Lytechinus pictus: one gene and its partners. The main gene of each other region encodes a partner of the protein of the gene in region 3 in a complex. Links are inferred from orthologs where the notes say so. Each region holds a gene or a part of one and is shown on either strand. Other genes may lie near its edges.

What was found. Proteins that work in one complex are often made in the same cells at the same time.
Region 1: the proteins of origin recognition complex subunit 3-like (region 3) and origin recognition complex subunit 5-like are in contact, whole or in part, in a crystal structure (PDB 4XGC), measured with the Drosophila melanogaster proteins. The link is inferred for Lytechinus pictus from reciprocal best matches to the Drosophila melanogaster genes Orc3 and Orc5. Residues at the interface, in NP_476904.1 of Drosophila melanogaster: Ile105, Gln107, Leu140, Lys141, Val144, Cys183, Thr184, Met185, Lys186, Gln187, Glu213, Cys214, Asp222, Leu225, Ile226, His230, Ala243, Thr244, His250, Tyr255, Ser258, Ser259, Arg262, Leu263, Ala270, Pro272, His302, Ile303, Leu305, Tyr306; in NP_477132.1 of Drosophila melanogaster: Ile72, Glu73, Tyr75, Ile79, Glu82, Asp86, Asp94, Arg130, Tyr291, Met292, Arg293, Ile294, Glu295, Leu319, Glu320, Leu321, Pro322, Tyr323, Tyr324, Ala325, Asp383, Leu386, Ala387, Tyr390, Val397, Leu399, Thr400, Cys401, Asn402, Leu403.
Region 2: the proteins of origin recognition complex subunit 3-like (region 3) and origin recognition complex subunit 2-like are in contact, whole or in part, in a cryo-EM structure (PDB 7JK6), measured with the Drosophila melanogaster proteins. The link is inferred for Lytechinus pictus from reciprocal best matches to the Drosophila melanogaster genes Orc3 and Orc2. Residues at the interface, in NP_476904.1 of Drosophila melanogaster: Gly10, Cys11, Phe12, Val13, Tyr14, Lys15, Asn16, Ala18, Thr19, Arg20, Ser38, Leu39, Leu40, Tyr50, Tyr53, Arg54, Asn106, Pro108, Arg135, Asp136, Ala142, Arg177, Arg180, Asp308, His312, Gln316, Lys319, Tyr320, Met323, Phe327; in NP_731873.1 of Drosophila melanogaster: Ala331, Ile332, Lys342, Met344, Cys345, Ile346, Leu347, Asn348, Glu349, Phe351, Tyr356, Leu358, His369, Lys375, Thr377, Val378, Leu379, Val380, Val381, Asn382, Phe385, Asp392, Ser396, Asp400, Ile401, Leu402, Asp403, Asn410, His412, Glu413.

The regions. Positions count from the first base shown.
Region 1 is NC_087247.1:38,510,790-38,517,818, reverse strand, and holds the start of origin recognition complex subunit 5-like, read right to left. Parts: upstream 3,092-7,029; 5' UTR 2,863-3,091; intron 1-2,862. UniProt on the Drosophila melanogaster protein: Component of the origin recognition complex (ORC) that binds origins of replication. DNA-binding is ATP-dependent, however specific DNA sequences that define origins of replication have not been identified so far.
Region 2 is NW_026974140.1:18,890,074-18,898,147, forward strand, and holds the start of origin recognition complex subunit 2-like, read right to left. Parts: upstream 3,092-8,074; 5' UTR 3,029-3,091; coding exon 2,890-3,028; intron 1-2,889. Other genes in the region: uncharacterized protein LOC129260196, read right to left, coding at 7,686-7,748. UniProt on the Drosophila melanogaster protein: Component of the origin recognition complex (ORC) that binds origins of replication. DNA-binding is ATP-dependent, however specific DNA sequences that define origins of replication have not been identified so far.
Region 3 is NC_087248.1:5,390,937-5,398,269, reverse strand, and holds the start of origin recognition complex subunit 3-like, read right to left. Parts: upstream 3,022-7,333; 5' UTR 2,996-3,021; coding exon 2,948-2,995; intron 2,844-2,947; coding exon 2,795-2,843; intron 1,257-2,794; coding exon 1,153-1,256; intron 416-1,152; coding exon 265-415; intron 1-264.

The sequences.
Region 1 (7,029 bases), on a different chromosome or scaffold from region 3:
ACGATTTCTGACATTTTACTGTAATCCCCATTTACCGACGGTAGGGTGTACGTGTGGGCTCGCATGTGTTCTCATTCCCTCCCTTTTGTCAATTCACAGTCCAAAGTTTGATGTAATTTTACACATCGAATTTACAATCTAAGGATGTATAACCAACAAACTTTTAAAACTTGATATTTAATTATCAAAATACTTTAAACGATATAGATGAAAAAGGCATGAAAAATATACTTTACCGATGTTTAATTGGGTTGAACACGATAAAAATGGTCAAAATGGCAGCCAAACTATAAAATATTACAAACGAACGTCAACAATCACGAATGTGATATCGATATTGCTTTCGATATTATACGATCTGCTCCATATGCGAACGAAATCGAAGATAAACGATACTAGTTATACTAGTACTAGTACTAGTTATAATCGCGATATATCGATTCGAGACATTAAGTTAATAACGATAATGACGTCATTCAAGATGGCAACTTGCAAGAAAAACCGTCAGGTCAGGTGAAAATGTCTTAGATGACAGATTTCTCAATCATCCAGAGGATTTTTTTCAATAACTCCGGCCCAAGGTATGCAATTACTTAAGTTATTTATATTTCCCTGATAATGGAAACCATGAAACTTTCAATTTTGCTTAAAAAACAGTTTAAAATCTCGATCTATAAAACGCTAGTTCACTATACGTTGGCTGTAGGTACGGGGCCCCATCCCCTTCAGTCTATGTATGGTGAGTGGAGCCAACGTAGTTCAGCGGAACAACCAAAATACAGAGACTGAAGCTTTTGGTCTAACCGCAGGGTAGTGTGCTCGGGCCAACCCTCTTTGTTATGTATGTAAACGATCTGCCAGACGTTACTTCAAGCTCTACGCTATTATATGCTGATGACGCTAAGATTTATGCCAGAGTACCAAACCCTGACTGTAGTCAATCACTGCAAGATGATTTGAATGGCATTGAGAAATGGTCACTCTCATGGCAGCTTCCTCTGAACTCTGATAAATGTAAGACTCTTTATATAGGAAATAACAATATCCATCGTTCATACTCTAACGTTTTATGGATAATCGTTCACTGGTTGATGTCAACTGTGAAAGGGATCTTGGTGTTCTTATTGATGATAGTGAACTCACATTTCATCAACATGTATCTGCATCTATCCAAAAAGCTAACCAAATGTTGGGCATCATCAAACGTGCATTTGTGAACATTAAACCGGATATATTTCTGCCCCTGTAGGCTGTACAAGGCTCTTGTTCGACCACATTTGGAGTATTGTAGTGTTGTGTGGAGCCCTAGATTCATCACCGATGACAGAAGAATTGAATCTGTACAACGTAGAGCAACAAGACTATTTCCAGGATTTAACTCCTTATCTTATGAGTGACTGAAAGACTTGTTAGACTGAATCTGTACTCCTTACATTACCGCAGAGAATGAGGGGACATGATACAAAATTACAACAAGTATTTAAAATATTACATGGTATAGGAGATAGAGTCGACACAGAATCCCTCTTCATGAGGTCTCATACTAGTATCAGGGAACAAGAGGTCATCCCTTCAAACTGTTCACAACTCACTGTCGGTTGAATGCCCGCAGCAGCTTTTTCAGTAAAAGAGTGATTCAATCCTGGAATAGTTTGCCTGCAACACTAGTATTATAATGTCCTCCAGCATCAACTCATTATTATTTTAAACACGGATTAGATTCTTTTTGGTCAAGCAAACATTTTGAAATTGTCTGACATCCACGCCCGCGCGCACTGAACTTAGAGTTAGACTTAGAGTAACCCAGAGAGCTCCCGCCCGCGCAGCGGGCGGGAGCCCAGAAGCTTACCGTGTATTTGACCATATTCACCGGACTAGGGTGATTTATGGTCTAAATATTTCTCCAAATGAATTGTGGAAACAGAAAGTATACAATTACCACGATTATATGGATGAAGGTCTAACGAGTGGCAGTTTCCTGACATCTGGGCACAGACTGGAACCTCAAAAAAACGAAAAGTTCTCTCCTTCTACCCCCGTTTCGATCGGCCATTTTTGTTAAAAATCGTAACAAAATGGCCGATCGAGACTGGGGTAGAGGACAGAACTTTTCGGTTTTTTTAGGTTCCAGTCTGTGCCCAGATGTCAGGAAACTGCCACTCGTTAGACCTTCATCCATATAATCGTGGTAATTGTATACTTTCTGTTTTCACAATTCATTTGGAGAAATATTTAGACCATAAATCACCCTAGTCCGCTGAATATGGTCAAATACACGGTAAGCTTCTGGGCTCCCGCCCGCGCAGCGGGCGGGAGCTCTCTGGGTTAGACTTAGACCAAAAGCTTCAGTCTCTGTTATGTTGGTTGTTCAGCTGAACTCCGTTGGCTTCACTCACCAAATACAGAGACCGAAGTTCTAGCGCGATCTGTACAGGGGACTCAATGGCCATATGTTTATGTACTTAAGAGCGGATAAAACGGGGAAGTGAATTTGCGCGACAGCCGAGATAAGTCACTGTTTTTGTTTCTTTTAACTTGATTTTTCTCTGTTTTTTGGCAATTAATGCCAAGAGGGAATATTAATTTGCATTTTGGTCGCGTTAATTTTCAAAAATTTTATTTATTAAAGACAAAAATTGAAGAGCCCCGACGGGGGGATTTTGCATTGCAAGTCCCCTAATGGTGGCTGCACGATAGCGAGCCGTCTGTGTATGAGGAGAAATTAAAAAAATAAAAAAATGTTAAAAAACTCCTCGAAACAGACGGCTGCCAGCTGTCTAGGTTAGACTTAGAGTAGACTTTAATTATGCATCAAGTGTTTACGACCGGGAGATCTACAGGACTATATAGTATATTACCTACCCTCCCGTACAGATGATGATGATGATGATGGAAAGATGTCAGATCTGACAACTTGTCGGATGAAAATATTGATGAAACGCTCCCCCGGTATACCGTATTACCGTAATATAATGTGTGTGCCGCTCTAGCTCTAGCTCTCGATCGACCTCGGCCGCGCTCACAATCAAATGGCGCGCCACGGTACCGAGTATATAGTACGGTACGAGGCTCTGGCTAGCGCTAGTGCTGATTTGGCTGGCTATATGGGGCCGATTGCACGAAAGGGTCTTTCCAAGGACCGTCTTTCGTGTCGCCCATATTTTATGATACGCCATGTGAAACGCATTTCAAATAAATTATCTGCAAATATATTTTATTTGTCCGTCAAAATAAACAAAATATTTGTATATAAAATGATGTGATATCCCATGAAATTGTATAAAATTTGATTTAAAAGCAAGCTTACGAATTTTATTTGTTTATCATAAATTTCCGAATCGCCCCGCTTATAGCGCATCATAAAAGATGGGCGACACGAAAGACGGTCCTTGGAAAGACCCTTTCGTGCAATCGCCCCCTGCTCTGCGCATATTGCTTCCTAGGGCCGATTGCACGAAAGGGTCTTTCCAAGGACCGTCTTTCGTGTCGCCCATCTTTTATGATGCGCTATAAGCGGGGTGTTTCTGAAATTTATGATAAACAAATAAAATTCGTAAGCTTGCTTTTAAATCAAATTTTATACAATTTCATGAGATATCACATCATTTTATAAACAAATATATTGTTTAATTTAACGGACAAATAAAATATATTTGCAGATAATTTATTTGAAATGCGTTTCACATGGCGTATCATAAAAGATGGGCGACACGAAAGACGGTCCTTGGAAAGACCCTTTCGTGCAATCGGCCCCTAGTTTTTAGGCTAGGCGGAAGTACCGTACGCATACGGGCGGTGCATGCACGAGAAGACTGTCTCTCCACATCCGAAGCCAATGATTGTCTAACATTTGCTGTTTGATTTATCTAACTTCGAAGTTCCAGCTAGGGTAATTGTTGGTGATAATTGAGGAGAAGGAATTAATAAGAAAGGTAAACAAATACCACACTGAAACTACCGTAAATGATTGAGGTACCAGTGTCGGCAGTGATCTACTCTCACTCAACAATCAAGTACCGGTACCGTATATAGAATATACTCCGACCGTGATTTCGCTCATGTGATACGTAAGTATATGTGTCACGGAATCGTGGTTATACACACTCACCTGCGTGCGAAAGGAATTGCACACGCTGTAAATAAAGACGGACTCCTGAGGGGAAGTTATTGACTCGGGCTCCATCGATGTATTCAAATTAATTATTAAAGGGATGGTCCGGGCTGGAAATATTTATATCTTAATACATAGAATATAATTCACTGAGAAAAATGCCGGAAATTTCATCAAAATCGGACAACAAATAATAAGTTATTGAAGTTTAAATAAAGTTTAGCAATATAAAATAATAATTTTGTGAAAACAGTCGTCATGAATATTTATTAATAATATTAGGTGGGCTGATGATGTCACATCCCCATTTTCCGTTTTCTTACGTTATTACATAAAGGCAAAATCGTGATATAGGCCCCGCTCGAGAAAAACTTGTAATCGATTATACTACCTCAATATCTAGGTTGCTAACTTCAGCTCACTATATATACTCGTGATATAGGCCCCGCTGCTGTGTTGAATAGCTTAGAATGTCAGTTTGCGGGGCCTGTTTCACGAGTATAGTACTATAACCGTTATATAGGCCCCGCACTACGGCACTTCAGACACTCCAACACAGTAGCGGGGCCTATATATCACGAGTATATAATAAGCTTGCATCCTAAGATAGTCGCGAAACTGGCCCCGTCCAATGCGCTTGTCCCAGCATTCGCACGTGTGTGGGGCTCGGATGACGGCTATAGTAGTATACTCGTTATCGAGGCCCCTTACGCTGTTATATAATGGAAAATAACGTGGTCGTGGGGCTTGTTTCCCCTGCCGGTGAGAATTATCATGGGCGGCGCTGTAGGGGGGAGGGGGGCCCTTCAATTTATTTTCCAAATAAACAAGGAAAGAATATCATGGGCGGCGCTGCAGGAGGCGGGGGGGGGGCTCCAATTTATTTTCCAAATAAACAATTAAGGAGATATAATAATTTACTTCTTCAGAAATTTATTTGTCGATTTATTTATATTTATTCATTAATCATTTAATTCATTTGTTTTCAGTTATTTTTTTCTTTTGTGATATAGAGAGTCAGAGTTAGGTATCATTCGTTTTTAATTCTTTTTATGTGTGGAAGTTCATTTAATTTATTTATCAATCTATTTTAATTGTTTAATTAATGTATTTATATTTATTCATTAATCATTGTGATATAGAGAGTCAGAGTTAGGTATCATTCGCTTTTAATTCTTTTTATGTGTGGAAGTTCATTTAATTTATTTATCAATCTATTTTAATTGTTTGATTAATGTATTTATATTTATTCATTAATCATTTAATTTATTTGTTATATTTTCATCTTTTTGTTATCTGAGGTCTTATGTTGATACAGGGCCATACATTTCATTTATTTTTCATTTATTTCTATTCATTCTGTAAGTTATAATGGCTATACAAAATGAAGACGGCACTCATTGTAAAGCTTAGAATATCTTCTCTTTCACCTGGTATCCTTAGAAGATTCCTCGATCATTCAGGCATGAATGACTTTGAAAATTTGAAGAAAGTATAATCTGAATTTAAAAATTATCGTTTACCTTCTTTGAATTAGTCGTAGTTGAAGGGTGTTATAACCTTATTTTTCGTTACATAAAAGGAATTTATATTTTGTTTAAAGGTCAAGTTCACCCCAGAAAAAATGTTGATTTGAATAAATAGAGATATATCAAACTAGCATAACGCTGGAAATTTCATCTAAATCGGATGTAAAATAAGAAAGTTGTGATATTTTTAAAGTTTCGCTTATTTTTCACAAAAAAGTGATATAGGCCCTATATGCACAACTCATTTGCATGCAAATGATACAGTTCCGGCCTCGCTATTTTTTTTTTTTTAATTATACAATATTTCATTTTTCACATTTTTTACAATAAGGGCCAACGTGAATGAACCATATGTTCAGGGAGAAATTGTTGCACTTGACAATGAGAAGAAAATGGGAGAATATCATATTTCATATAATACAATACTAAAGAAATAGTGAGTGGATGGCGTCATCAGTTTCCTCATTTGCATACCGACCTGGATGTGCATATGTAACTATTATTTCAAATTAAACTAAACTTCAAAATGTGATAACTTTCTTATTTTATCTGATTTTGATGAAATTTTCAGCGTTATGATCGTTTGATTTTCCTCTTTTTATTCAAATCAACTTTTTTGTTGGGGTGGACTTGTCCTTTAAATTAAACAATTGATGTATTTGTTTGTATTAAACTTTTTGTTTTATTTGATGTAAGACCAACCATTATCGTTAATTTCTCTTTTTACTTATGGATTTGATCTCTCTGTATACCATATATTATTATATATATAAACAAATATATTTTGTTACCTCACTGAAGCCAATACGTGAAACGTTAGAGAGAGAGAGAGTGGGAGAGAGAGGCTTAATGCATCACTATTTCAAGTTCTCCTTCGTATTGTTTAACTTATTCATTTCCTGGTTTATTCATATATTCATTTATTCGTTCACGTTTGCACTGTTTGGGGAAAAAATGTTGTCTATTAATTGACACGAATGGCCTACCCTTAAAGGGGGCAGTTTACCCTGACGCAAAGTTGATGATAATTAAAGCAGAAACATAGAAAAATATTCTTAAACTAAACGTTTGATGAAAATATATATTTTGTTGATTGTCACGCACTTCGGTTAAGAAGTTCGATATTCTCTAATCAAATATTGTCATTCTCATACTTAAATTAGTTTTTATCATATGAAATAGTACTCTACTCATTTATGTAATGAATGTCTTGCTAAGATCAATTGTGAATGTCACTTTCACTTGCCCAGTAACCTGCACAATCAAGGTACTAATGGATAATTTGTTTTTCTGTTCCAATCATGTAGAAGCGGAAACGGAAATCAGCCCCTTAGTTTGGTTTTTGAAAACACAAAAACGAAATCACAACGAGAAAAACGTGTTGTGATT
Region 2 (8,074 bases), on a different chromosome or scaffold from region 3:
TCTCCAAATGAATTGTGAAAACAGAAATTATGCACTTACCACGATTATATGGATGAAGGTCTAAGCTCTAACGAGTGGCAGTTTCCTGACATCGAGGCACAGACTGGAACTTCAAAAAAACGAAAAGTTCTCTCCTTCTACCCCCGTCTCGATCGGCCATTTTTGTTATGAATCGTAACAAAATGGCCGATCGAGACTGGGGTAGGAGAGAACGTTTCGTTTTTTTGAAGTTCCAGTCTGTGCCTCGTTGTCAGGAAACTGCCACTCGTTAGACCTTCATCCATATAATCGTGGTAAGTGCATAATTTCTGTTTTCACAATTCATTTGGAGAAATATTTCTTCTTCTTGGTGATACTCCTCAACGTTCCTATTACAGGAACCACCCGAGGAGGAAATGGGAGTGCGCACTTTGTTTCTTCTTAGTCCTTGTTGCTTAAGTCTTTGTTGCGAAAGTATATGGTTGCCTGTGTTTCAAAATTATCAGAGACTGAAATTGATTGGATGTCGGGGGGTAAAGAATTCCAGTCCTTGATGGTGCGTGGAATATATGAGTTCTTAAAACAATTGGTGCGAGTTGAGCACTGGATGAAAGATCTTCCGGATGTACGTCTGGTAGCTCGAGTCGCTGGACGTAGATAGTCCGACACCGGCAGGGCCAGGTGCCCCCCCAAGGCCTTGTGCAGTATACCAATCCTCGAAACTTTCCTTCTTGTTGAAAGGAGATCCCATCCTAACCCCTGCATTAGTTTTGTAGCACTGGTGGTTTGCCTATAGTCACTACAAACCATTCTGGCTGCCCTTCTTTGCACCTTACCAATTTCATAAATATGCTCTTTTGTATATGGGTCCCAAACGCTAGAACTATACTCTAAGATCGGTCGGACTAAAGTTATGTAAGCTGTAGCTTTTGTGAGTTTTGTGCATGATGGCAAGTTACGTTTAATAAAGCCGTTGACTTTATTTGCAGAAGTTGTGATTTTGAAAATATGCTTGTCCCATTTAAGATCTTGCGAGATATTGACACCAAGATATGAATGGTGGGTGGTTTCCTGTAGATCTACGCCACCCAAGTTATATTTGGTTGTGAAAGGTGATCTAGAAGAAGTTATCCTAAGAACAAAACATTTCTCTGGGTTAAGTTTCATTTGCCACTTATTTTCCCATGCAGAAAGTTTGTCCAGGTCATTCTGTAGTCTAGTAGCGTCATTTTGTGTTTTGATGTTAGAGTATATGATGCAGTCGTCCGCGTAAAGTCGTACAGTTGAGGTCAAGCCGTCTGGTAGGTCATTTACATAGATAATAAACAATAAGGGTCCGAGCACTGTGCCCTGCGGGACGCCTGACTGTACCTTAACCCATTGTGAATATTCCCCCCCTAATACTACTCTCTGGTATCTATTCTGTAGAAAAGATGAGATCCACTGATTAATCTTCCCATTAATACCATATTGCTTGAGTTTGAGGAGGAGTCGTTGATGGGGCACAGTGTCGAAAGCCTTAGAAAAGTCGGTTATTATTATGTCAGTCTGGGTCCGTTTGTCAAAAGAAAGAGAGAGGTCATGCATGGTTTGTATGAGCTGTGTTTCGCAGGAATGTAGTTTTCTGAAACCATGTTGACTTTTATTAAGAATATTGTATGATTCAAGATGGTTCATCACATGGGTATGTACCACATGTTCTTATATCTTACAACAAACAGAAGTGAGAGATACAGGCCTATAGTTTTCGGGTTTTGTACGATCTCCTTTTTTGTGGATGGGAGTGACATTGGCTTTACGCCAATCTTCAGGTAACTGTCCTGAGTTAACAGAAGCTTGAAATATTTTGGCAAGAATTGGCGCAACTTCATGGGAAAATTCCTTAAGAATACGAGGAGGTATATTTCATCCACCCCAGTTGCTTTCTTAGGGTCTAGATTCCTTAGGAGTTTTTCAATACCGGGGGTGTGAATGGTTATGTTACTTATGCCGGGAATATTACAAGGAGGGAAGTTTGGTAATGTCTGCAGGTTTTCAGTCGTGAAAACTGAGCGAAACTGATCATTAAGGATCTCAGCTTTCCGGCTGTTCTCAGAGAAGAGAATACCTTTTTCCTTGTCTTTTAGTTCTAGAATACCCGAAGAGTCTTTCCTAAGACTTTTTACGAAGGACCAAAATTGTTTCTTTGACTCTAAACAGAAGTCTCTTAATTATGTGTTTCCTATATGCAGACTTTGTCAATTTGTGAGTATCTTTCCTTATATTCCTAAAGTTTTCCCAGTCTGAGCCATCACTAACCCAGAGAGCTCCCGCCCGCGCAGCGGGCGGGAGCCCAGAAGCTTACCGTGTATTTTACCATTGTCACCGGACTAGGGTGATTTATGGTCTAAATATTTCTCCAAATGAATTGTGAAAACGGAAAGTATCCAATTACCACGATTATATGGATGAAGGTCTAACGAGTGGCAGATTCCTGACATCTGGAACCTCAAAAAAACGAAAAGTTCTCTCCTTCTACCCAGTCTCGATCGGCCATTTTGTTACGATTTTTAACAAAAATGGCCGATCGAGACGGGGTAGAAGGAGAGAACTTTTCGTTTTTTTTGAGGTTCCAGACTGTGCCCAGATGTCAGGAATCTGCCACTCGTTAGACCTTCATCCATATATTATAATCGTGGTAATTGTATACTTTCTGTTTTCACAATTCATTTGGAGAAATATTTAGACCATAAATCACGCTAGTCCCGTGAGTATGGTCAAATACACGGTAAGCTCCTGGGCTCCCGCCCGCGCAGCGTCGGGAGTTCCCTGGGTTAATATCATGGCCCTTTAAACTTCACCAAATTGGATAAGTGGGACTAGGGTGCGTCATTAAATTTGGGTCCCGAACAAAGATGAATGTTGAATTACCTGAAGCTTCTTCCATTATGTGGTGCATAACATCATCATTACCGACAAACATCACAGATATTCCCTTCGACATACGCTGTTTAGACTTTTTATGAGCAGATTTAGGCGTAGACTTGGATCTAAGTTTCGATTTATCCATGATTGTGATGCCTGATGGCCGGCTATCTTCTACGAAATTTGAGTTTTCGCGCACGTTGTTGTGAGTGGTGGTGGCTTTGACTTTGCAAATACCATTTGGCAAAATTTTGGGAGGCGACCACCATAGATAATACATGTAATAATTATAATAAATATCTCTATGGCGTTCATCAAGTTGATTAAAAAGCAGAAAATTGTGGAAAATATAATAAGGTTCTGGGGGGGGGGGGGGTTGGCACCAAGGCATCGTAGACGTCTTTCAGAAAAAAGGGGTTGCTTTTTCAGCACTATATACCATACTCCAGCAGCAAAAGCTATACATTACTTCAAGTTAAGTTTATGAAATCTCATCCACTTCAAGCTATGACGTCTCACAGCTAATATACCATCCCCCCATAATGCTCTCCCTCCCTTCCCGGCTCACTTCATCATTTGTCTCTATCTCTTCAGTTGTATTTGTCATATCCCGGCTTCCTATTGTGATATCTCTTCTCGATCTATACCTCTCTCACTCCCTTCCCCGCTTGTATTCCACCACTCTCTATTCACCACACCAGTCTCTCTATCTTTCCATGATCCCCCTTTCCCTGACCTCTACCCCCCATCTCCCCCTATTTCCCACTCTCTCCTTATACATGTACCTCTCCTCTCTATATTCTGCTTACCCCATCTTGATCTTCACATTTCAGCAGTTCAGGGTAACCACTTTGGGTTTATTTTGATTTATACATTATACTTCTTCCAAATGTTTAGATGTAATGCATATCACAATTCAAATAAAAGACACCCAGTACCAAAAACATATTTTTGTTTTAAATATGGTTTTTATTACATCAGTGACCACCTAGTTGAGTCAAGGGTTCTTTAGATGTAAAAAAATAACACGACAGCTGAGGTATACATGTTAATTCTCTAGCTCTTACTGTTAATTGACTGAACATCCTAATATTCCACTTATTTCATTTCAAAGAGCAATCTTTAAGCAAAAATTGCCAATTAATTTGGAAAAAAATAAAATAAATAGAAGTAAATTAAATAAATTTCATTTCATGTTTAAGATAAATACAGAATTGCACAAAATCTAATAAAAAAAGACCACTTTTCTCTGTTAATATGGTATAATCTTCATTCTTGAAGTTCATCAAAAGAGAGTTTTACCCCCCCCCCCCCAAAATACTGGAATCATTACAAGCTAACCACTGTCGGCACCCAGGGTCAGCACCAAAGAAGGTTTGAATTAAACATGATATGTCATACTCAGTTGGGTTTTTCATAAAGCTGTTCAAGCAATGATCGACTTAATGAATGACTGGTGATTCTTTCTTGTGGTAAATGAAACGCACCAGATTTCCATTAGTGTTGATTCAGTTCCTAAGAAAGGATCCCAGTGGTTCGTAACGCAGCCTTTAGATGAGAAACAGCTTAATGAAACAACTTTCAATATCATCAATGCCCATTCATGATCTCGGCAAACTGATTCCTCATCAGAATGCTCAATTTTAATATATGAGCGAGATTGAATATGCCCATTAAAATGTTACCAAAATCATAAGCTTATTTTTTTAATTATCATAGGGCCTTTCACAAGCAAAAATAATTGCCAATTAGGAACAAAAGGATTAAAAAGCACTCCTATAACCTTCCTAATTTCCAATGGATCATGTGGCCATTATAAATAATGACAGAGTTCATACTAAATCCTTTTCTATTACTTTATCAAAAGGTATGTTTATCAAGGCTAATTCTTCAGCACAGAAGCCTATAGAGGGGGTTGCCACATGACGTCACCATGGAGGACATAACAATGGGAAACATGTGCACTATCCATAAAAGCAACCACTGATCTTAGTTGAATGCACAGGTTTTCATTGTTCTCCTCCAAAATGGCTGCTCTATGGACCTCCTTAGAGGACAAAAAGTTAATAATCATCCTTGGTGAAAATGATAAGACAATATATCATTTCCATATTATCTTACTGAACAGAGCTAAGGAAAGATGACATTTATCCATCTTGCCAAGGAAGTGATAGTTTGTCTCATTCACTGAAACCGCAATTAAGAAAAGAAATTCTTTTTTTTTAAATGACATTAAAGCAAAGTTAAGTTTGATTTCTGCTTGGAGCATGTCTTTTTTTGTTTGGGAGCACACTTACATTGATATATTCCTGTATTTACTTAGGAGACCTCACAAAATCAGCTGATCCTACATTTGATTTAGCCCTAACCAGACCAGGCTAAGTCATACTTTTTGCTCTAATTCACTATAAAAAGCTCATAGAATGCTAATTTTTGGTGTAAATATTCTTTATACCATTGCTAACAATCACAAATTAATAAAAATCTTGGTTTGAAAATGAATTTACTATTTATTTCATTGTTTTATGAATTTCTTATGTATTTTTTTGTTGTTCGACCTTTTGTTTTTCAGAACCTTTTTAAAGCATAATTATGCTAAAATCAATTAATTTTAGCTGATAAAAGTGAATAAGGTGAGAAAATTCAATTTACATTGACTTTGTACAAAAAATTACGTTTTGGAGCAATTTTGGGTCTGACATGCACTTACATAATGTTGTGTAATTATCGTACCGCATACCCGGGCATCATAAATTTGGTCTCAAAAGATGCGCAAGACTTTAAAGTAAAATGTCAGCGATCGGTGCGGTCAAAAATTTGGTGCAGAGGAATGGTCATGGAAAATGTCGAGGCTGATTCACCCCCCCCCCCCCGCTGGATTAGGGTTAATGATTATCTTGGTAAAGATACGTGATGTCATACTCTTAAAGTGAGAGGAGGGAGTGACTCATTACACCCCCCCCCCCTCCTGGAACTGAGCAATAAGTTCCTTGCATGAATCTATACAAGTGATATTTATTGCATATTTTCAATTATTTGATCTGATCATAAAGTGTAAACATTTCATGATGATTAATAAAATAAATATATATATATATATATATAATACTAAATCTGTTAACGCAACATACCAGCACATTCCCCTTTTCATAGAATCAAATAAATTTCTTTTGATAACCGTATTTCATCAAATTCGTGCATTGGCTTATGAAAACCTGGCCCTAAGCTCTCTTTCATAAAACTTGTTATTAAAATCAAACTGCAAACTTTTGATATATGCCATTTCATTGGTTGAGAGATCTTTGTCATAGAATTGTGAATCTTGTCTGAAGTTACACAACTGGGAGGTCATGAGTTCAACCCCAGTTAACAGCTATGTCAGACCAAAAGTCATTCAAGATAAACAAAGTAGTTGCAGCAGTAAACACTGATTTCATGAGAAAGTCTGCGAAACCAAGGTTAATTGTCACTATATCATTGTGGATCTAGATATGATAGAAAACTTAACTTTGAGAAATTATGAAATCTTACACTGTAGATCACCAACACAGATAAGCACATGTGGGACAATGTATTATTGCTTGGAAAAACCTGACAATCTGCTCGTATTCCATGCTTATTTTGCTCATTTCTCATTAATTACACAATTTCTCCCACAATCCTTTGTCACATGTGGGACAATGTATTATTGCTTGGAAAAACCTGACAATCTGCTCGTATTCCATGTTTATTTTGCTAATTTCTCAGTAATTACACAATTTCTCCCACAATCCTTTGTCACATATTTTTGAATTTTGAAAAAGGACAATGGGGGGGGGGGCATATGATTGGATTCCATACAAAATACTTTTGAAATCATTACCATAACTGGCATTTATCTTTGGTTCATGTCAATCACTATGCAAAAATAGCAAAATGCAGCCACCAATGTAATGGAAGCACACAGATGTGGATTGGGATCTAGATATAACAAGTATATCATAATAACAATCTTGACAAAAGTATAACAAAGATATTTTGTTACACTACAAAATAAGAATAAAAATGAAGTTTTCAAAAATTTGATAGAAATGCATCCCTGAAAAATGATGATTATGCAAACTTAATTTAGAGTGCTTTCTGATCACAAACATGTTTCATCATTTATCTTATTTTTTTTACCTTCAAGCTCATTGATCATAACTCCCATCAATATTTTATCAATGTACTAATATTTCTATTTAGTGATTCTTCTTTCTTGTACCTAATATGAAATGTATCAAATCTTCTTTCTTCATATTTAATCAGAAAATTACCCATAATGGTGATAATTTTCTACAGTGTTTTCTTCAATAGGATCACATCACTTCTCTTACAGAGCCAGCTAGTGCACAGTAAGGTAGTGCCTTTTTTTATAATGGTATCTACACTCCTACATCTTAAAATATAATTCTCTTTCCTGATAAACAATCAAGATATCAGAGCCCTCAGTAATACAGTAGTACTGATAACAATGGTGGCTTTTATTAGGGTTGTATCCACCAAGTTGGGATGCTAAAGGCTCTAAGAGATTATCATAGCTGAGCTCCTAAGTAACTAGCACTCAACCACATCGGAGAACCATTCACACTTGGGTGGAGAGCGGCAAATGGTAGATTCATGCTGGCCAAAAGATGCCAGTGCTGTGATTGGACTTAAACACAGACTGGCAGAACCACTATGTCACGACTCATCAATTACACATTGACACTTCAACATGAACAAGATCTTAGTGATCAATGCAGCCGTATGTCTAATAGATGGTTGATGGAAGGATTAGGATGTCATCTCTTGGTTTTCTTTGGTTTGCGTTGTCGACTGCCTTCTTTGTGTCGAAAGGTGATACACTGAAGAAGAATAAGACAATGACATTTTCTAGTTAATGCTATTGGAGAATGTCTGTTCAGGGGGTACATCCACAACGAGATAAGTAGGCCTTAACCGATATGGAATTTCATTGCTGATCTGATGTGCCGATATTTTTTTTCTCCCTGTATCTGCAAATACCGATTTGATCCAATGTACAGAACTAAAGTTACAGATACGGTAATGCAAACATTTATCAGCCTGACCGCCATATAGCTATACTATCAATGCATGACGTATTGTAAACAACCTCCAACTCAGGTCAAACAGCCCAAATTCGTGGTAAAGAGTTTTAAAATGTCAACAA
Region 3 (7,333 bases):
AGGCCTAATAATGAAAAATCAAGGAATTTAAGACCTTTCTTTTCCATGCACTGCTGAAATAGACATAAAATAGATAATGCAAACACAAGTGATAATTTTTTTTGCTACAAATAAATAATTCTCTATCATGTATAATGAAAACTAATCAATTTCAAATATGACATTTTGATTTTCAGATTTCCCAGAATTTCCTGGAATTTCTTACTATCCCGGAAATTACCTGCATAAACTCTAGATCTACTAAAAAGGTGTATTTGACAGTACCTGTTACAAATGCCGCAGTTGGGATCTCCTTAAGCTTAGGCCTGGACCTACTTGATCCCAGATCCTCATCCATCTTGAATCCTGCCTGAGCATTCTTGATGAAGTCTAGAAGATCATCAAAAAGTGTTTTGTTGATCTCTGCCTGTAAAGTCTGTAACAGAGAAAAACAGTAATGAAGAATTGACACATAAGTTGACTTTTATAATTGACTTTCTTTTAAACAAGTGCACACATTGTTATTACCAAGAATGCTAATAAAACATTTCCATTAATTCTAACAAAGGATTTTTTTTTTAAGTTGATTAAATGCCTGATCCCTGACATAGGTGCCAGGGATCATATCCCAGACTTCAATGTGTCTAGTCCGATATCTTGAACCACCTCCATGAATAACTATCTTGACGTCAGCATTACTTATATATTCAAACCAAATATACATGTTTGGGTAAATTGCTAATTTGTTCACTGCCAACTCGTCCACTCACCACATGGTCTACCTTCATTTAGTCTCATGCCATTCCGTCCATCAACATTTCTACTAACAACCATTTGGTCCAATAACCATTTAGTCCAATCATCACTTCGTCTAATCACCAGTCTGTCTTTTACCATTTCGTCTAATAACCAGTTGGTCTAATATCCATTTTCTTTTCCTTCATTTTGCACTATTAAGTTTAATTAGACCAAATGGTATATGGACTAAATGGCTATTGGACCAACTGGCTATTAGAAGGAACTGCATCAGACTAAATGAAAGTAGACCATTTGGTGAGTGGATGAACTGATGGTAGACCAGATGAACATAGACGAGCTGGCAATTGGACGAATCGGCATTAGACAAATTGGAAACATTTTATGTCAAGGTAGACTTCCTCGTAAAGATCTTACCTCAATATCATCATTGATAAGCTCCCACTGGGCATCTCCAGTCTCAAATCTCAGCTTACAATCATTACTGCTTTCAGCTTTGCTTTCAGGTATGAAATAATCTCCTGCATTCATTTTTTTTACCATTTAAAACAAAAGTAAAAAGTACAAGTACGATCTTGAATTCCTGTAAATTTACTTTAATGTTGGAAGTGAAGGGTTAAAATAAATGTTAAAATAAAATAAATTGAATAACATTTTTTTATCTGAAATTTATCTCATTTCAAACATTATCTGCAATCTGCAATTCTTATGTCTTTTTCTCTTTTTTTCTCATTTGTCAATTAACCATTTGAAATGAATATATGATTAAAAATATAAATAATGAATATCATTTGGAATCTAAGGACAAAACTACATTTAAAAAGACTAAGGTGAGTAAATGTTGAATTGTTTTTCTATTAAAATATCAAAATCAAAAGTTTTTCTTTTATTGCTTACATGCATATTGAAAATAAATAGTGTTGATAAAAATTTATCTTCTAATTCGTATTTGCAAATTTAAATTTAGAACAGGAATTTTGATGTTTTAAGTGTTGCCATGAAAGGAAAGCCATTGTCAATGAATGAATAAAAAATATGGATGTTTAAAATTGACCTTTTTTTAAAGCATAATTCTCATGGTCCTGAATCGTAATTGCAAAATCACAATTTTTTAGTCAATACAGCAGTCCTGAATTGATCATCAGATATTACTTATAATATTCATATTTATTGCAATAAGAAAATTTGATCCCTTTATCAATTTTGGTTTTAAGGCTGTAACACTAAAGATAGAAATATATGAGAAATTGCAAACCCTTTGCCTTTGAATTGGAGATTACATTTACACATTATCCTTTCGGAAAATGAGCAAGAGAGGTGTAACTACATGATTCACGACTCTTGTTGCAATGAACGGTTCTTTGAGCTTAATGAATATTATAGGATGTTACAATATTCAGAACTTCATAAAACTTATCAGAGATGCAGCACACATAGTGAGGAAAAAAATAAAAAGGAGAGGAAAAAGGGGTAGAAATTGGGAGAAAATTGGGGGAAATTAAAATGAGGAAGAAAAATATCAATATCAAATTAATATAGAAAGGAAGGAAGGAAGGAAAGAAAGAAGGAAAGAAAGAAAAAAAAAGAGAGAAAAGATAAGAAAAAAGAAAGACAGAAAGAAAGAAAAGAAAAAAAATTACTAGATAAATAAATATCACGTTCGAGTATCTTATTCATGTTATGGAACTGAGCAATGTCAATGAAAAAGAGAAAGAAAGAAAATACAAAATAAAGTCAGACTCAAAGAAATCAGTTTATTACCAATAATCTTTTATTAAGTTTTACTTTTAGCAGTCAAAGTTAAAGTAAACTTAGTTTATGTTCCTTCCATTCTTAGCTCGTAAGTATACCAAATTTGCAAAACGAATTTGGTATGAATAAACAGGAATTTAGCTCCTGTGCAATTTTTATTACTCTATCACGGAAAAGTGATATTCATGTCGGATATGTGTGCATTGGGATCGCACACGCTGGTAACCATAATTATGTGTGCGTCATCAATGACATTAATTTATCATCTACATCACAGAAATACACGGATGGGGATGGGTTTACTTACCGGGATAAAGAGGCTGACGTCTCTTCTTGGCTTTGAACACGAAACATCCCTAAAACGAGATCAATAAAATAAAAAGTTTGAGTATCATATTCATGATATGGTACTGAGCAATGAAAGATCGATCAATTCAAGTTTAAAAGACAATTTTAGTACCTTTGAAACTGAAGTTGTAGCCCCACACGTGAAATCGTAGTCTGCCATTTTGAGATTGTTTTGCTAGCCTCACGGAAATGCGCCTTTTAGTATTTTCTGAATATACATTCCCAATATAACTAGTAATATGATGAAGAAAGGGGATATAGAAATAGTAGGTTCAGTCGTAACACAATTATCTGAATAGCAATATTAACAAAGTAAGGTTTATTCCTATATTGATAATAATGATAATACGGTAGTGATAGGACTATTAGTATATGTTAAAGGGGGAATTGTCAATTATAACTGATTGCCTGACGATAATGTTTGTAAGGCGGTATCATCATTATCATCATAAGCTATTTAAATGAAAAATGAACAGAGTTGAATTGAGTTGAATGTTTGAATTTATGTATTTAGTTGTAGATGAAATAAATATAATTATTCAAAAAATTGATTAAGATTAAAATAGGCCTATGATTAATACTGGAGACTAAATAATGATACAACTTCATTATCATGTTAAGGCTGTGAATATGATCACAATTTATTTATTTGTTCATTTATATATATATATATATATATATATATTTTACATTTCATAAGCCACTTTTCAAATACTGGGATAAACGTCTAAGAAATGAATGTAAACATTTATTTCCACATTCGTGCAAATGGGTTAGCAATGCGTACTCAGATGCGATTCTGGGATTGCGCCATCTACCGATCTGTCATGAACACAACATTGAGAAAAGAAGATGTGGTTAACTTCATGAGGTATTAAAGAAAATAAATCAAAATCGCATAACATTCATATTGAAGAAAAAAAACTTGATAATTGAACAGGAACAGGAATTAACTGCATTCCTCGTTTTTTTTTCTGGAGTTTTACAAAGCAGTTATCCAGCATGCATCTGTGTACAGGATTTTGGAGTGGCGACGATTACTCGAAGATCATTATAAACAAGAGAGATTTGATATTTGAGTAATTTTTCATTAAATCTTAAGCAAAGAATGACGTTTCTAGGGCCTTCATCGAATATAGATTTTGTTCGTTTAAGAAACTTGACAGTGAGAAATTTATTCAATCGTAGGACTGGGAGAGAACAAAACGATTTGTATTGTATTTGTATACAGGCGTATCCCGTCACAACCTTTTGCTTTCAGGGAACTACGTCCTTTTATGTTAATAAATATGTTTTATATTTATTTTTATGAAAAATGGTTTTGTATAATCTATATTGAAAATTATATTTTGTGAAAAATGGAAGAGAATAAATGTTTATTTGAATTGAAAAGAATATGTTGCAGAAGGATAGAAACAAGTTTTCCGTGAGGAGCTATAAGTTTAATCGAGATTCGAGAGAAGACTTATCATATTGCTGGACTTCAATATTGATTGCAAGCCTGCATAGCCCACATACAAACCATATTGATAGCTAAATCGTATTCTTTGGAAGTCTTTTCTTAATAATTCCTGGTTTATATTGCTTTACAAGTTTACATAATGTTAAACCATGGGCGGAAATTCCGGGGGACCCAAAATAGTATAGGGGGACACACAATATCAAATGTCCCCCTATATTTTGATCTTTTATAATGGAAAGAAAGACATCATTCAAAATCGAAATAAAACGTGTATTTTGAACGAGATGACCGTACTTTTTGGGTGATAACCTTTTTTTTTTTGCTTGTCAAATTTTCCGGCCCCTGGTCCCCCTACTTTTGGGGAGAGATTCCCGCCCTTGTGTGAAACTCGAGTGGTCCTGTATACTCTAGGTTACACTTTTCGTGTATGATATAATTATGATTGCTCCTCATATTTAGCATATATTACTTCAATTCCAATGGCTTTATCAATAAAATGAGATTTAGTTTACAGCTATATTTCTCTCGTAATAACGCGAATATTTGTATATTTTCATAGAATCGTTAATTGTTGAAAAAAATGAGTGCGCTTAAAATTACTTATAGCCAATAACATTTTCAGCATATTTTTTATTCAAAAGTATATTGTACAAAATCGACAGGGCTTTTGTCTTATATTTTACAACTGTATTCAATAATAGATTCATTAAAATAGGAGAGTATAAACCTGCAGCAAGGGGATAACAGTTTCTCACCGCGCTCATTCAACACAACGAGCTCTGAAGATTAATTTCAAAAGATAAAAGGAATTAAACGACTTGTATTTTTATTCAATTGATTTCATGAATGAATCTATTAAAATTTTGGAGAAAAAATGATTTTCGAAAGGGGTTGGAAATAAATGCGGGAAAAATTGACTTTACGAGTGAATTTTGAAGAATCATCCAAACGAAGAAGACGATTTTTAGGGGCTGCGTCTCAATAGGCATTTTTGAGATAATTTTTTTTTTTCATATTGCTGCGCGTGGCGAAGGCAAAAAATATTTTATCATACTATTTTGGTTAGGAAAACTTGGAAGGCTTCCTGTCTCGTTGAAGTATTTCTTCTTGCTTACTTCCTATCTGTCTGTCCTTTTTGTCCTTCTTTACCTTGATCTTTTCTGCCTTTAAACTCTCTATTTTTCTTTGGGGCACGGTCCCTTTTCGCCACGCCCCATTATATACATAGGCCCGTATTCTGAAGTCGGGTTTAACTTAAACTCAGGTTTAAAGTTGTGGTTTAAGTATGGATAGCAAATTGTTGCATAAATCACTAACAGTAGAGATATCATACTTCAGCTCTCAAATAATTCATAGTTGTCTAGGAAGTATAAACAGATGATTGTCTTCACCATCGATGAATAAAGAAAGAGCACAGTAAACATAAGAAACATACAACTTAATAAAAACTTTGATACTTTTGGCTTCCCATACTTAAACCACAACTTTAAACCTGAGTTTAAGTTAAACCCGACTTCAGAATACGGGCCATAATGTTCAGGGCCCCGTCTTACAAAGAGTTACGATCATTTATCCAATCAATCGTAACTCTATCAGTCTATGGAAATCCATTACTTTAGTGTCATACGTTTTTCTACATGAAATGTGCAAAATTTCCTTTGTAAACAAAAGAGAACACACCGAGCTGTCAATGAACTTATGGATATACATTCGTATCTAGAATTTTTTTGAAGCAAACATGCATTATGTTGAATTTGCTGGCTTTCCATAGTTGCAATCGATCGGATCAATCGCAACTCTTTGTAAGACGGGACTATACTCATGCAGTTCGAGTGCTAAGGTTCCATATTTTGAGATATAGTTCTTATAACATGAAGATTAACTTTGTAATGAAAGCTTTACTAAATAATATGGGTTGTGCTGATGCTAGTTGATTTTTTCTCATTCATCCATTCAACAAGATTTATTTTTGCCAATTTTTATTTTCAGAGTCGCTTGAAATGACTTATTAATTAACACATTTTGCCCTGAGTGACCCTACCAATTTCTAGGATTTTGGTTTTCTCCCTCCCTTTCGAACTAAGTGAAGACAGAGGAAAGTGGAATTTTCTGTACGAATGATGAAATTTTGATGGTGGGTTATAATGGACAAGATGTTTGGAAACAATATTTCCATGAATTCTTTTGAATATGAGTGGATTGATAATTAGGCAAGTGCACAATGATACCATTTAAAAAAAGTGATTATTAGTATGTCGTCACCCTTCTTTTTAGAGTACCCGGCCATTTTTTTCTTTTCTTTGCTTTCGAGGTTCGGAAGGATTAAGTTTAGGACTGATAATCCCTTTTCTTTTCTTTTTTTTCTGGGGAGGGCAATTATGTCCATTTTGGCATCAATTGACCCCAATTTTTTATTGCAAAAGAAAATAATGTACTAATTCCAAATAAGATCGTTTTTCTGTGCCCCAATTTCATAAATCCGGGAAACGTCATCTGGATGACGGACATTTCCAAAGAATGATTTTTCGAACTTGTGTGATTTTATATTTGGCAATATCCAAATGCGACTAGGATGTTTTATTATGATATTCTAATCTTCATGTTTTTTAAGGGGGTGGACTTTCCATTCAGAATTACCTTCTCCTGTAGGACCGTATAGGCCTTCTATATGGCGGACCGCCGACCAGAATGTTGACATGGCAATGTATAATTTCTCAACAGCATGATTTACAATTATATAACATAATGATTTTAGTGTCCCAATAAAACATAATATAAAATTAAATGAAAACCACTGCAAATTGAGGAGGTAAAATGTGTAATTGACTAAGAATTTTATTGTTTTCATTGTGTTTTACAACAATATGAGTGAAAAATCAATGAAATGACCTTAAACAAAACATAAAAACAAAATGCTAACGAACACTGTTAAAGAGGGGAGGGGGGGGGGTGAGTGGCGCGCATGATAGTACGCGCTTTATACCAGGGAATTTCCCGACATTGTCAAACCACGTGCATCAATAATATTGAGTGGTA